Nothobranchius furzeri: one gene and its partners. The protein of the gene in region 3 interacts with the protein of the main gene of each other region in a pairwise test. Links are inferred from orthologs where the notes say so. Each region holds a gene or a part of one and is shown on either strand. Other genes may lie near its edges. The genes, in order: eaf1, mfap1 and bend7.

Region 1 (3,754 bases), on a different chromosome or scaffold from region 3:
CGCAGAGCTACTCACGGAGTGTGTTCATGAGCTGGTTGTTGCCCTGCTGCCGGTCTCCTCCGCCGTTGGTGATGGGGGTGCAGCTGGGGGAGGTCTGGCTGAGCGGTTGCGGGGGGGCGTCGTGCTCACCATCGCTACTGCTGCTGTCGTCGCCGCTCCCCGAGCCGCTGGCTGAATCGGACGAGCTGCTGCCGCTGCTGCTCATCTGCTCGATCACCTCCACCTCCGCCCGCAGCTCTGCCAGCGGCAGCAGGTCAGAGACATTATTGGTTCTGGGTTCATTTCACACCAGTTACAATATCCAGCTGATATTTTAGCTAGAATCAGTTTGAGACACACCAGTTCCATCTTGTGACAGAACCTTCTCACCTCGTTTGATGTCATCCAGCTGAGGCTCTGGGGACGGGTTGTCCTTCGTGTGGGAGGGTGAGGTTTTGTTCCCGGCCCCTGGTTTGGTCGGGGCTCGGAACTGAGAGCTTGTCTGGGAGGAACGGACGGACTGCTGCTCGATTCGGGCCTGGATCTTACTGCTGCCCTCCGCCCTATAAAAAATAAACACGGCAGACTCACCAACTGTTGCTCCTTTCTGCTCCCCACTTTAGAATGAATGATTTATCAAGTGTGAAAAAGTAATATACAATTCTCCCACCTTGTTTTCTTGACCTGGATGCTGCTGCTGAGCTTCTCCAGGACAAATTCCCCCGTGTCGTGGTTAATGATGAGCACACAATCCTTCTGATACAACCGCTTGTTTCCTTTAAATACCGTCATTGGAGGCGTGGAGCCCTGGAAGAGTATGTAACTTTACTTGATCCTTTGATTTTTCTTAATAAAATCATACAAAGGGGCTTTTACTTGTTTATTTTATTGGTTCCTGATGTAACTAGATGAAACTGAAACTACATTTAAACATAATCAACTATGATTACTCAACCTAAGCTGCTATCTGACTTTGTTAGCAGAGGGAAAGCACTTGATTGACACTTAATAACATTAATAATGTTGAATAACCATAACTGTGAGCCAGCTGACACAAATGTGAGAATGGTGCTTTGTTGTTTACGTCTCTGCAACCTTACTGGAATATGAGGTAGTGTTATGGTAACTTCATCTCCTTTCCCAACTTGTAGCTCTCCCTCACAGCTCGTGTCGATCGATGCTGGTTTGAAGTCATCTAAGAATAAATAAATAAATTAGGCATGAATCAAGTCCTTTCACTGCTTAGAAAAACTTAAATAAATAGAAAAAGAAGTAAATTATATAATTATTAGAGATGTATGATATATCTGCATCAATATCGAGTATTGGCCGATGTTAGTACATTTTTAACATACCAGTCCGACAATTAAAACTGGGCCGATTTTAAGAACTGATATTTTTTCCATCTTATTTCCGTTTGTGTATGTTTCAGAGGGTAAGGGGCAGTTATGATGTGTAATTGTTGAGACATGTGACCGTGATGGTAATCATCTGGCGACGGTGGCACAGGAGTTAAGTGCTCGCCCTGTAATCGGAAGGTTGCAGGTTCGAGCCCCGCTCAGTCTGTTGCTGTCGTTGTGTCCTTGGGCAAGACCCATGTTATCTGCTGGTGGTGGTCGGAAGGACCGGTGGCGCCAGTGCTCAGCAGCCTCGCCTCTGTCAGTGCGCCCCAGAGCAGCTGTGGCTACATCGTAGCTCATCCCCACCAGTGTGTGAATGTGTGTGTGAATGGGTGAATGACTGGTTGTGTTGTAAAGCACCTTGGGGGGTTCCAGGACTCTAGACGGCGCTATATCAAATACAGGCCATTTACCATTTACCAGAAGCGTACGTGTGTGTGTGTGTGTGTGTGTGTGTGTGTGTGTGTGTATAACATAATGCAAATTCAACTTCATAGAAATAAAGCAAAACATTCCAAAATTCAACTTGCATAATTTCAGTCTATTCAAAATCTGCTGATTTCAGATGCATAAAACGGTATTGGCCAATATTGGTTATCGGCCATAACAGTGATACTAATCTCGGTACCGGCCCAAAAAATTCATATTGGTGCATCCCTTATTATTATTAATTATTTAGTTTCTAAAAATGAAAGAGATTCAAACTTAGCTAATCACCCTTATATGTTTTAAATTATAACTTTGCTTGACTCTGCTAATATGACATTAATTTACAAACCGGGAAATATTTAAATAATGTGCTGCTGGTATTTGGGTGAAATGTGCATTTATTAATTATTGGTCACACTGTCTACTTGGCTTAGGAAATGTTTAAATAAACAAAGCAAAATTAAGTAAAAGTTGAATGATGATCAGTTAATAATTGATAATAACCAAGGACTTAAAAAAAAAACATTAAACCCCACAATTTAACTTTCTATTTTTTACATAATAAACACATTTCTGTTCAGCAATTTCTTTCAGTTCGGTGTTTTGCAGTTCATACATGTAAATCAAATTTTCTCATTTATTGTGTACTTCTGTAACCGTAATGAATGTAATAGCTGTATCACTGTGAGCTAATTACTTCCAACCAACAGCTGACTTTACTAAAAGCTTTTAGAAACACAAAGTGGTCTCTTTCACACTCACATCTGATGGTGTGAAAAGATGATTTTGGCCTTTTCTCGAAGCTCTCTCCGAGCTTCAGAACATGTTCCTCTTTGTCCAGCAGTGGATTTGTGTTTCCGTTCATGACTTCGTCTGGTTGAAACCGGATTAAATTTTACATTTGTGTTACAACCGAAAAACAGAGCTATATCCAGCAACTACCGGAGATGATAATCTAAATAAAGATAAAGTTAGCTTGCAGATGCTAACCTTTAGCAAAACAACACTTACGTCACGCGACTGCAGCTTTTTCGGTGTTAAGTGAAAAACGGTTTACTCGTATATCAGTGTGCGGGTTTTCCGTTCTGAATTCTTGGAAAATAAATATGTTTACCTCATTGAACAATTATTCAGTTATTAGTATTTGACTTAAGTATGAATTTATTTTTACCGAACACAGATTAAATAATTTTAAAAAGTAATATTTTCCGTACGTTTTTGCCATGCTGTGATGACTAATGTTTTAATTAAACTATCAAAAGTTTTCAGTTTAGTTATTTTATTATCAGATAATTGGTTTAAACAACAAAGTTAAAGGGGAAACTCGCTTAAAATAGGAGGAGAAACTGTTGTTGTGAGGAAACATATCTCGGCGTAACACTGCCTTTGGTCCGAGCATCAAATACCACCGACGGAAAACCAGACTGGGTGTAAGTGATTTCAGAGCTGTTAAAAATATTTGTAACTTATTTAAACAATAAAATTGTACAGTCAAAATTTATATTATATTTTGTATAAATTTTGTGTTTTAAAGCGTTGACCACCGTGGTATTTTTTTTAATAACACCAACCGGTACCGGTGTCATCGATGCTGCACAAGATGGATGCCAAGTGTGGAAAAATATTACCTCCTTTTTCTTCCTATTGAAGCTTATATAAAGCTTTATTTTATAAACAAACTATCAGAGAGAACGGCAATCTAACACAACAATGGCGTTAATGACAAATGAAAAGTGCAAAGTTGAAGACATTGAAGAAGTGGAACCCGAAACAAAGGTGGAGTCACGGGGACGAGAAACAAAACTTTGCTCTGTCAGAGATTTAACTCCAGAGGAACGGGACAGACTGAGCAGTGAGCGGACGCTGGTATCTGATTTCAAACAAATTAAGCTGGAGAAAGAAGCGCAGAAAAATTGGGACTTGTTTTATAAAAGAAACACCACGAA
Region 2 (3,688 bases), on a different chromosome or scaffold from region 3:
AGCGGGTCCAGGAGTACTTTGTTTGGGCCTCTGAGGTGGTGAAAGGCCTGAAAGGAACTAACTCTGCCCTGGAGGGGAAGCTGGAGGACTTGTTCAGAGAGGCATTCAACTCTGATGGCAAAGCCACACGTCTATACTGTTAAAATGACAACTCAAATGCACCTTTATGAGTGAGCTTCAGAAAAAAAAGAAAGAAGTGTGAATGTACTGTCTGCTGCACTGTCATTTGTATTATTGTCAAATTTTTAAAGTCATGCAAACCAGAACAGAAAATTAAAAGAATAAAAACATATGACATTTCTTTTATAAGTCTGGTTCATTGTCATCAAACCTTTCAAATAATTTTCACACAGACACAAAGTTTTTTTTTTAGATAAGTGAAGAGTTGCTTATTAGAAAGTCAGTCAGATTAGCCTTTTGTTTTTAAATAAACCATGATGCCAAAGTTACAAGCCAACCTCAGTCCATCCTATTACTCTGTTAAGGGTCAGGGCGTGCACTTATTTATTGTGCTAGTAAATTGAACTTGCCTGGAGCAGAAGAAATGTAGTTTGTTAAGCTGCCTGTCATTTTTGTAAAAAAAAAACGGAATGTTTGATGTTGGTTATATTTGTTAGGGTGAAATCGGGTTTCTGATCATAATGAAAAAAAGCTTGACTTGAAGGCCTATCATGCATGAAACATAAAAACCACCAAGGGGCGGTGATTTACAATTTACAATTTAATCGATTTTAATTAGCTTGATGGTCATTTAGAAAACACGTTTATAAAAATGCATAAATGTCAGTTTTGTAAAAACAATTTAATGTGAGACGCTTTCCTGTTCATTTGATTCTTGAGTTTTTGGTTTTTCTCTTCGGAACAAATGCACTTCCTGTCCGTTCGCGGAAGTTGTTCAACTTCCGGTTTTGAAACGAAGCAGCCAAGAGATTGTTGAGACTAAGCGCAACATCCTTTTATTTCACGTCCATAGTTTTGTGTTGTTGACCGGGCAGTCATGTCTAGTCACGAAAGCGTCAACATGAAGCTCCCACCGATCCAGTCCACGGCAGGAGCCGTGCCCATCCGGAATGAGAAAGGTGAATCGTGTTAGGGTTAGCTTCCATGCTAATGTAGCATCTGTTATGTAGCGTCAAAAAACGCGAGTTAAGTTTCTAAATAACTAATTCATTACTCAGCAAAACAAGCTGAAAAGCAATTTTGTGATGTTGGTTTTTTAAGAGAGTAAAATGTGTGTGTGTGGTGGGAGTAACAGTTTAAAATCTAGAAATGGAGGAACAACTGACAGTTTACATTTTTTTAAACAAGATTCAAGATCTTTGATGATCCAACACAAATGTTTATAAACAACTGGAAAAAATATATTTTAAATAGCTTTTCAACTTTTTTACGTGTTAGATAAGTCATCTGTTAAGTCCCTTAAAAGTATTCATGGGCTTTTGTAACGTCATTTATCTGTCTACCTAATAAGAGCTTGTCTGAGACATTAACTCGTTGTTTTAAGCTTACGTCTGAGTTTTGGGGTCATTTTATTACTCCCAAGGGCGAGGGGTATGCTGTATCTGTCTGATTTAATTTAAATAAATCTGCAACATATTGTTTTACGTTTTTTATGGTTGAGTGTTTTTTCCTGTTTAAATACTCTTGTACTAAGCTTGAGGAAGTGTATATAATCATGCCCTTTTCTGTACACAATGTAGGTGAGATCTCCATGGAGAAGGTGAAGGTGAAGAGGTATGTGTCAGGTAAACGTCCAGACTATGCCCCCATGGAGTCGTCAGATGAAGAGGAGGAGGAATTCAAGTTTGCTAAAAAGGGAGTGGAAATGGAGCTGGAGGTAGAGCAGCAGGAAGAAGATGTGAATGACCCACGTCTCAAACGTTTGCTCAATCGAACTTCTGAGGACGTGGAGGAGAGGTATCACTCAGTTTTTCTGATTAAACTCAAATTCTGTCAACATTTTGAGTCAAAATGTTTCCCGTTTGTTTGTGCTCAGGCTCGCAAGACACAGACAGATCGTAGAGCCTGAAGTTGTTGCTGAGAGCAGTGAGGACTCTGATGAAGGCACATGGCACCCTGAGCATCAGGAGAGCAGCGACGATGAAGAGGAGGAGGAGGAGGAAGAGGAGGAAGAAGTGGATGATGAGGTAGCAATTGTGCACCAAAAAAATAAAATCCTTTTAACTTTTTTGTTGCATTTTGAACAAATTATTAATTTGCTCATCGTGCTTGTGACCAGGAAATTGAGAGGAGGCGAGCAATGATGCGCCAGCGTGCAATGGAGAGGAAAAATGAAGAGATGGAAGTGATGGAGGTGGAGGAGGAGGGGAAGTCAGGAGAGGAGTCTGAGTCGGAGTCAGAATATGAGGAGTACACAGACAGTGAGGATGAAGCAGAGCCGAGACTTAAGCCTGTTTTTATTCGCAAGTGAGAACTAAACTAAAAATGTTTCAATAAAAATTCCAGATTCAGAACACTAGCTCAAATGTTTTTTTTTTGCACTGCAGAAAGGACAGAGTCACTGTGGCAGAGCGCGAAGCCGAGGAGCTGAAGCAGCGAGAGCTGGAGGCCGAGGCCAAGAGGCAGGCAGAGGATCGGCGGCGCTACACCCTCAAGATTGTTGAGGAGGAGGCTAAGAAGGAGTTTGAAGAGAACCGGCGCTCGCTGGCTGCACTGGAAGCTCTGGACACTGACGGGGAGAATGAAGAGGAGGAATATGAAGCCTGGAAGGTCCGAGAGCTGAAACGCATCAAGAGAGACCGAGAGGCCCGGGAAGCGTAAGTAAACTGCAGGATTCCAAAGGATTTATGGTGAAAGAGTGATGCAGTTCTCTTCAGGACGGTCATTTGTGGTGTTTTGTTGTCAGAATGGAGAGAGAGAAGGGTGAAATTGACAGATTCCACAATATGACGGAAGAGGAACGCAGGGCGGAGCTACGCAACAGCGGCAAAGTCGTCACCAACAAAGCCTCCAAAGGCAAATACAAGTTCTTGCAGAAATACTACCACAGAGGAGCCTTCTTCATGGTGAGTCCCAGCAGACACAAGAGTCCTTTTCACGGGATTGTCACCAGGATTCATAAAAAAGCAAATTTTTAAGACAACCAAGAGATTTTCCTAAAATCTTCATTTACAGCTGCAGTGTCTTTTCTTTGACAATTATTGTGTGATAAAAACGGCGTACCCTTTCTTATAACACCTTTATTATTTAGATGTCTGTAAATGACAGGAAATCCCACCAGATTCTGAAGGAGGTGATCGTTTGTGATGGGTCACCAACAGGTTATACGTGTAGGGATTTATTGTGTGGTTTTTGTGTGTTAGGATGAGGAGGAGGATGTTTACAAGAGAGACTTCAGCGCTCCTACACTGGAGGATCACTTCAACAAAACCATCCTACCCAAAGTCATGCAGGTGAGACCCTTTCGTCTTGGGGTGCAACGAAATGAAACTTTGGGCTGATGTCGATATTGTTATGGCTGATAATCGATATTTGTCGATGCGACATATACAGGCTGACATTTATGCTTCTGAAGTCAGCAGATTTTATGGAGACTTAAAGTTATGTAAGCAGAAATTTTGGACGTCTTTCTTTTTATATATATTCAGTTAATATCGGTCCAGTTGTCCTTATCAGACCGATACCGATATGTAAAACATAGATATTGATGCCGATATGTCATGCATCC
Region 3 (3,754 bases):
TTTGTTTTTAAGCAAACTGTTCATGTACTGTGTAACAAACTCCACCAAGTTTCATTCAATTGTTGTGCTGAAAGGGATCTTTAACAACTAGTCTTAGGAAAATTCCTAAATTGACAATGACCTAAAGAAAAAAATAATAGGAATACAGTTATTTAGATGTAATGGAGCGTGTTCGAGAAAGTAATGCAAACTGATCTTGACATTAACCTTTAATCCACAGCGTTTGAAGTACTCTTCTTTTTCCTTGCGAGCCAGATCAGCTCTTTTGAAGAATTTTTTGGAGTCCTGTTGAGAAAAAGTTGATTGATATGTTTAATCCTATTGAAAATTCAACCTGTAGGGCAGTTAAAGGAACATAATAACACAGGAACTCCCCAACAAGAAGCTACATGCTAACGTTTGCTCTCTTTCTTATCCAAGAAACAATGTGCAATAACCCACCCGATTTAAAAAAAATCACAATTGACAGAGAACAAGCTAAATAATTCGTTTAGTTTAGAAACACAACACACAATTAATTTGAAATTCAAAGCAACAAGGTAGTAAGACGCGTTACACAAAAATGACTGAAGCACGTTTCAAGATCCGCTTTTTACGTTCAACGTAAAGATCTTACTGACACATTTAAATTTATACATGTAACGTTATTTTCCACGTGTGCAGAGTTCATAAGAGCACCGACGAGAGTAAGAAAAGCAATAATCATGGAAAGTGTTGACTTCAAACTTCCAGCTAACTCAACGCTAGCTAACAAAGCTAAATGTTAGGCTAACAAAAGCAGATTAAAAACCACAAAATACTCACATCAATGAGCTCTTTTTCCTCTAGAAGTTTTCTCTTTCTTGCTATTTCAGCTTTAAGTATATCCATTTCAGAAGAATATTATGAAAATGTCTTCTTTTGCGGATAGCTGAAGAGTGTTGACATCAAATGTAGAAAAAGGTTGACGTCCAGGGCTTAAAAACGGAAACAAAAAATTCAACATAAGAGCCTTAAAAAGTTCATTTCCTTTTTTCAAAATAAAAGACTAACTCCCAAATGCGACACTTCTGGAATGAACAGTTTTATTCTAGAATGAACCTGGTATGAACCTATATGGCTATGTTAAGAAGATTTCATTTACACTAAAAACTTTAAAATTTGAAAAGTATAAAGCTACACTAGTTGTATCAGATTTTCTCAAATTTATAAATTATATATAAACCTATTTGAATTTTCTTAAGATAACACAGTAAAATTAAATGAAAATGTACAGCTGCATCTATTTATATTATTTATGTATAGATGCAGTTGTACATTGTGTGTGTGTGTGTGTGTTTCTGAAAAAAATTGAAACGCTTAAAAATAACAAAAGGAGACGAAATTACATAAAAGCCTCCAAAAGTGTTTCAAATTAGACACATCTCAAAGAAAGACAACAGTAGTGGCATGAAAAAAGACTTAATTGGAGAACATTTAGAGGAAAAATGGTTGGAAAGTAAATGTAAATATCTAGGTATTCCAAACTTTGACAGACAACACTGGATTCCTGTAATACTCAATAGAGTTTGACCTTTTTATGCCACATTAGATATTTTCTGTCACATCATGTTTATGCTGTTAAACAAGTAAATTCTGTTGTGAGCAGCGTTTTAGATCCAGTTTAATTCAAAAAGCCTTTTAAAAAGTTCTGTAGCTCCTTCAACCTGACTGCTTTTGCTTAGATTTCAGTTTGTTGTCCAGTGGCAAAAGCCTTGTGCTCGACCTTTTAAAGGATACCATCAGGTGGCGCAAAGGGATATGTGACGAATTCTTAATAATAAAGTCATTAATGTATTTACATGGCGAAAGGGAAGGACCGCCGTCATGCTGGGAGAGGGGATGCATGTCCACAATTTTTTATTCCTGGAGAATTTTACACCCAAACGTTGGGAAATCTTCCGATGACAAGAATAGGCGAATTTTCTAACTGATTAATGAAGCAGACGGACAGTGATTGTGCTGAGTGAAAAAATAAAAAAAAATACAGATTTTGTCTTGGAGCGAAATCCGACGGCACGACTTGCTGGATATTCCCGTTGAGGATGGAGTTTGGAGAACGGAAGCGGAGAAGGAAATCCCAGAGCTTTAAACTGGTCACGGATGAAGGTAATGCTGCTGAATGAAAGCGAGACCTTAACAAGACGCGCTCATGTGTCTGGGTGTTTGTCTGGCGCCGTGTGCCAGCAGCAGAGACAAAAGCGATGGCCACGACAATACCCAGTCTGTGCATCGATTTTCTATAAATAAATCCCCAAGAGCCAACCTTTCAAACAAGAAAACGAAACAGAAATTCTCCTCACATGGTCCAGGCGTTTAAATTTTTCAAAAAGAAGAATAATTAATCAAAAACGTACACATCTGTTGCGCATTTATGTCATGCGACTCGAAGCTTTTTATATATTATTTTTTGCTACTAAATACCTTTCTCTAAACTACTTCATACCTACAGGTGGTGGTTTGTGCATGGATGGGAGGGGGGCTGGTTTACATCAGAGCACACCAGTCTGCAGACACTTTGCATCACAAGTTTTGCTGCAATTTTTTCTTATTTTGTTATTAAAAAAACAATTTTATGTGCAGATTGTGACCCTTCATATGTTGCAAGTTGCAAGAATGGCAACGAGGGAGCTAATGATGCAGCTGTACCTGGTGGTATTCTGATTATTTTTTTATATATTGCATGACTGCAAAATGATGCTCTAACCACCTTCTGTTAAATGCAGTTTGGCTTGATGAGAGCATGGGGATCAAGAGGCAAATCACGGGTATGATGAGACTTCTGAGTGATAAGACTGGGAGGGCATATCAACAGGTTGGAAGTGAGTCAAACAGCTTGCCTCAGGAGCCCCAGGATAAAGATCTGAACAGCCTGCACCAGACACAAATTCCATCTCCTGCATCACATCGTCACCGCAGCTGGAGCTCTGAGGGGGACCCTGAGCCAGCATCTTCATCCATAGCGAGCCCCACTCTAAACGGTCAAGCCTGTGGTCATAGCACCCTGTCCAAAAGCTCCAGGAGCCTCAGCAGCTTAAAGGACTCAGTCAAACCCAGTAATACAAACGGTAGGGAATCTTTGAATCTCAGGTCATTATATTTTAAAATGTTTGCAAAAACTTCAATTTCCTCTTAAGTTTTTGGTCAACGTCAGCATGAAAGCACATTGGACATGTTAAAGCTGACAGTGACTAAACAAATCAACACTGACTTTGCAGGAGAAGTGCTCCCTCCTGCTGTGCCTGAAATCCCCTGCTGCATGTGTAACTGTAAAGACACCTTAGAGGCTATACTCCAGGAACTGAGAGCAATGAGGAGGCTGATGCAAACTCAAAAAGGTCAGAAAGGAGGAATCTTATACAAAATATATGGACAACCTAAAGGAAATCTTTTATTCTTGTGATTTTTTTTCCTCCATAGCACCATTTGAAAAGAAAGAACAGGCAGGATCACCATGCCAACCTTCCCTTGGTCCAGGTTCCTCTCCTCGGCGTACACCCCAAAAGAGAAGGCCGATCTATAAGGTGGCTCCACTCAGTGTGTACAGCACCAGAAGGGCACCCACATCTTCCTCAGTGCTTAAACCAGTTACTTCTGAGTCCATGAGGAGGGAGGATTGTGAGAAACTAGACTCATCAGCACTCAACATTGGTTTGATTTCCTGTAATGTGTCTGCGCAGCCACCTCAGGTCAGCAACACACACGATCCTCCCCTGAACCAACCAAAGGAGCATCA

Evidence for each region.
Region 1: the proteins of bend7 (region 3) and eaf1 interact in binary tests that used the Homo sapiens proteins (3 or more experiments, as listed by UniProt). The two-hybrid records come from large-scale screens. The link is inferred for Nothobranchius furzeri from reciprocal best matches to the Homo sapiens genes BEND7 and EAF1.
Region 2: the proteins of bend7 (region 3) and mfap1 interact in binary tests that used the Homo sapiens proteins (3 or more experiments, as listed by UniProt). The two-hybrid records come from large-scale screens. The link is inferred for Nothobranchius furzeri from reciprocal best matches to the Homo sapiens genes BEND7 and MFAP1.

What each region holds. Positions count from the first base shown.
Region 1 is NC_091745.1:66,979,390-66,983,143, forward strand, and holds the start of eaf1 (ELL-associated factor 1), read right to left. Parts: upstream 2,863-3,754; 5' UTR 2,674-2,862; coding exon 2,571-2,673; intron 1,175-2,570; coding exon 1,080-1,174; intron 787-1,079; coding exon 650-786; intron 543-649; coding exon 370-542; intron 238-369; coding exon 16-237; intron 1-15. Other genes in the region: tRNA N(3)-methylcytidine methyltransferase METTL6, read left to right, coding at 3,519-3,754. UniProt on the Homo sapiens protein: Acts as a transcriptional transactivator of ELL and ELL2 elongation activities.
Region 2 is NC_091749.1:30,004,595-30,008,282, forward strand, and holds the start of mfap1 (microfibrillar-associated protein 1), read left to right. Parts: upstream 1-882; 5' UTR 883-997; coding exon 998-1,079; intron 1,080-1,700; coding exon 1,701-1,917; intron 1,918-1,996; coding exon 1,997-2,147; intron 2,148-2,239; coding exon 2,240-2,427; intron 2,428-2,507; coding exon 2,508-2,777; intron 2,778-2,866; coding exon 2,867-3,026; intron 3,027-3,323; coding exon 3,324-3,413; intron 3,414-3,688. Other genes in the region: hddc3 (guanosine-3',5'-bis(diphosphate) 3'-pyrophosphohydrolase MESH1), read left to right, coding at 1-143. UniProt on the Homo sapiens protein: Involved in pre-mRNA splicing as a component of the spliceosome.
Region 3 is NC_091744.1:72,601,079-72,604,832, reverse strand, and holds the start of bend7 (BEN domain-containing protein 7), read left to right. Parts: upstream 1-1,305; 5' UTR 1,306-2,063; coding exon 2,064-2,127; intron 2,128-2,601; coding exon 2,602-2,670; intron 2,671-2,744; coding exon 2,745-3,086; intron 3,087-3,236; coding exon 3,237-3,356; intron 3,357-3,438; coding exon 3,439-3,754. Other genes in the region: prpf18 (pre-mRNA-splicing factor 18), read right to left, coding at 208-285, 805-870.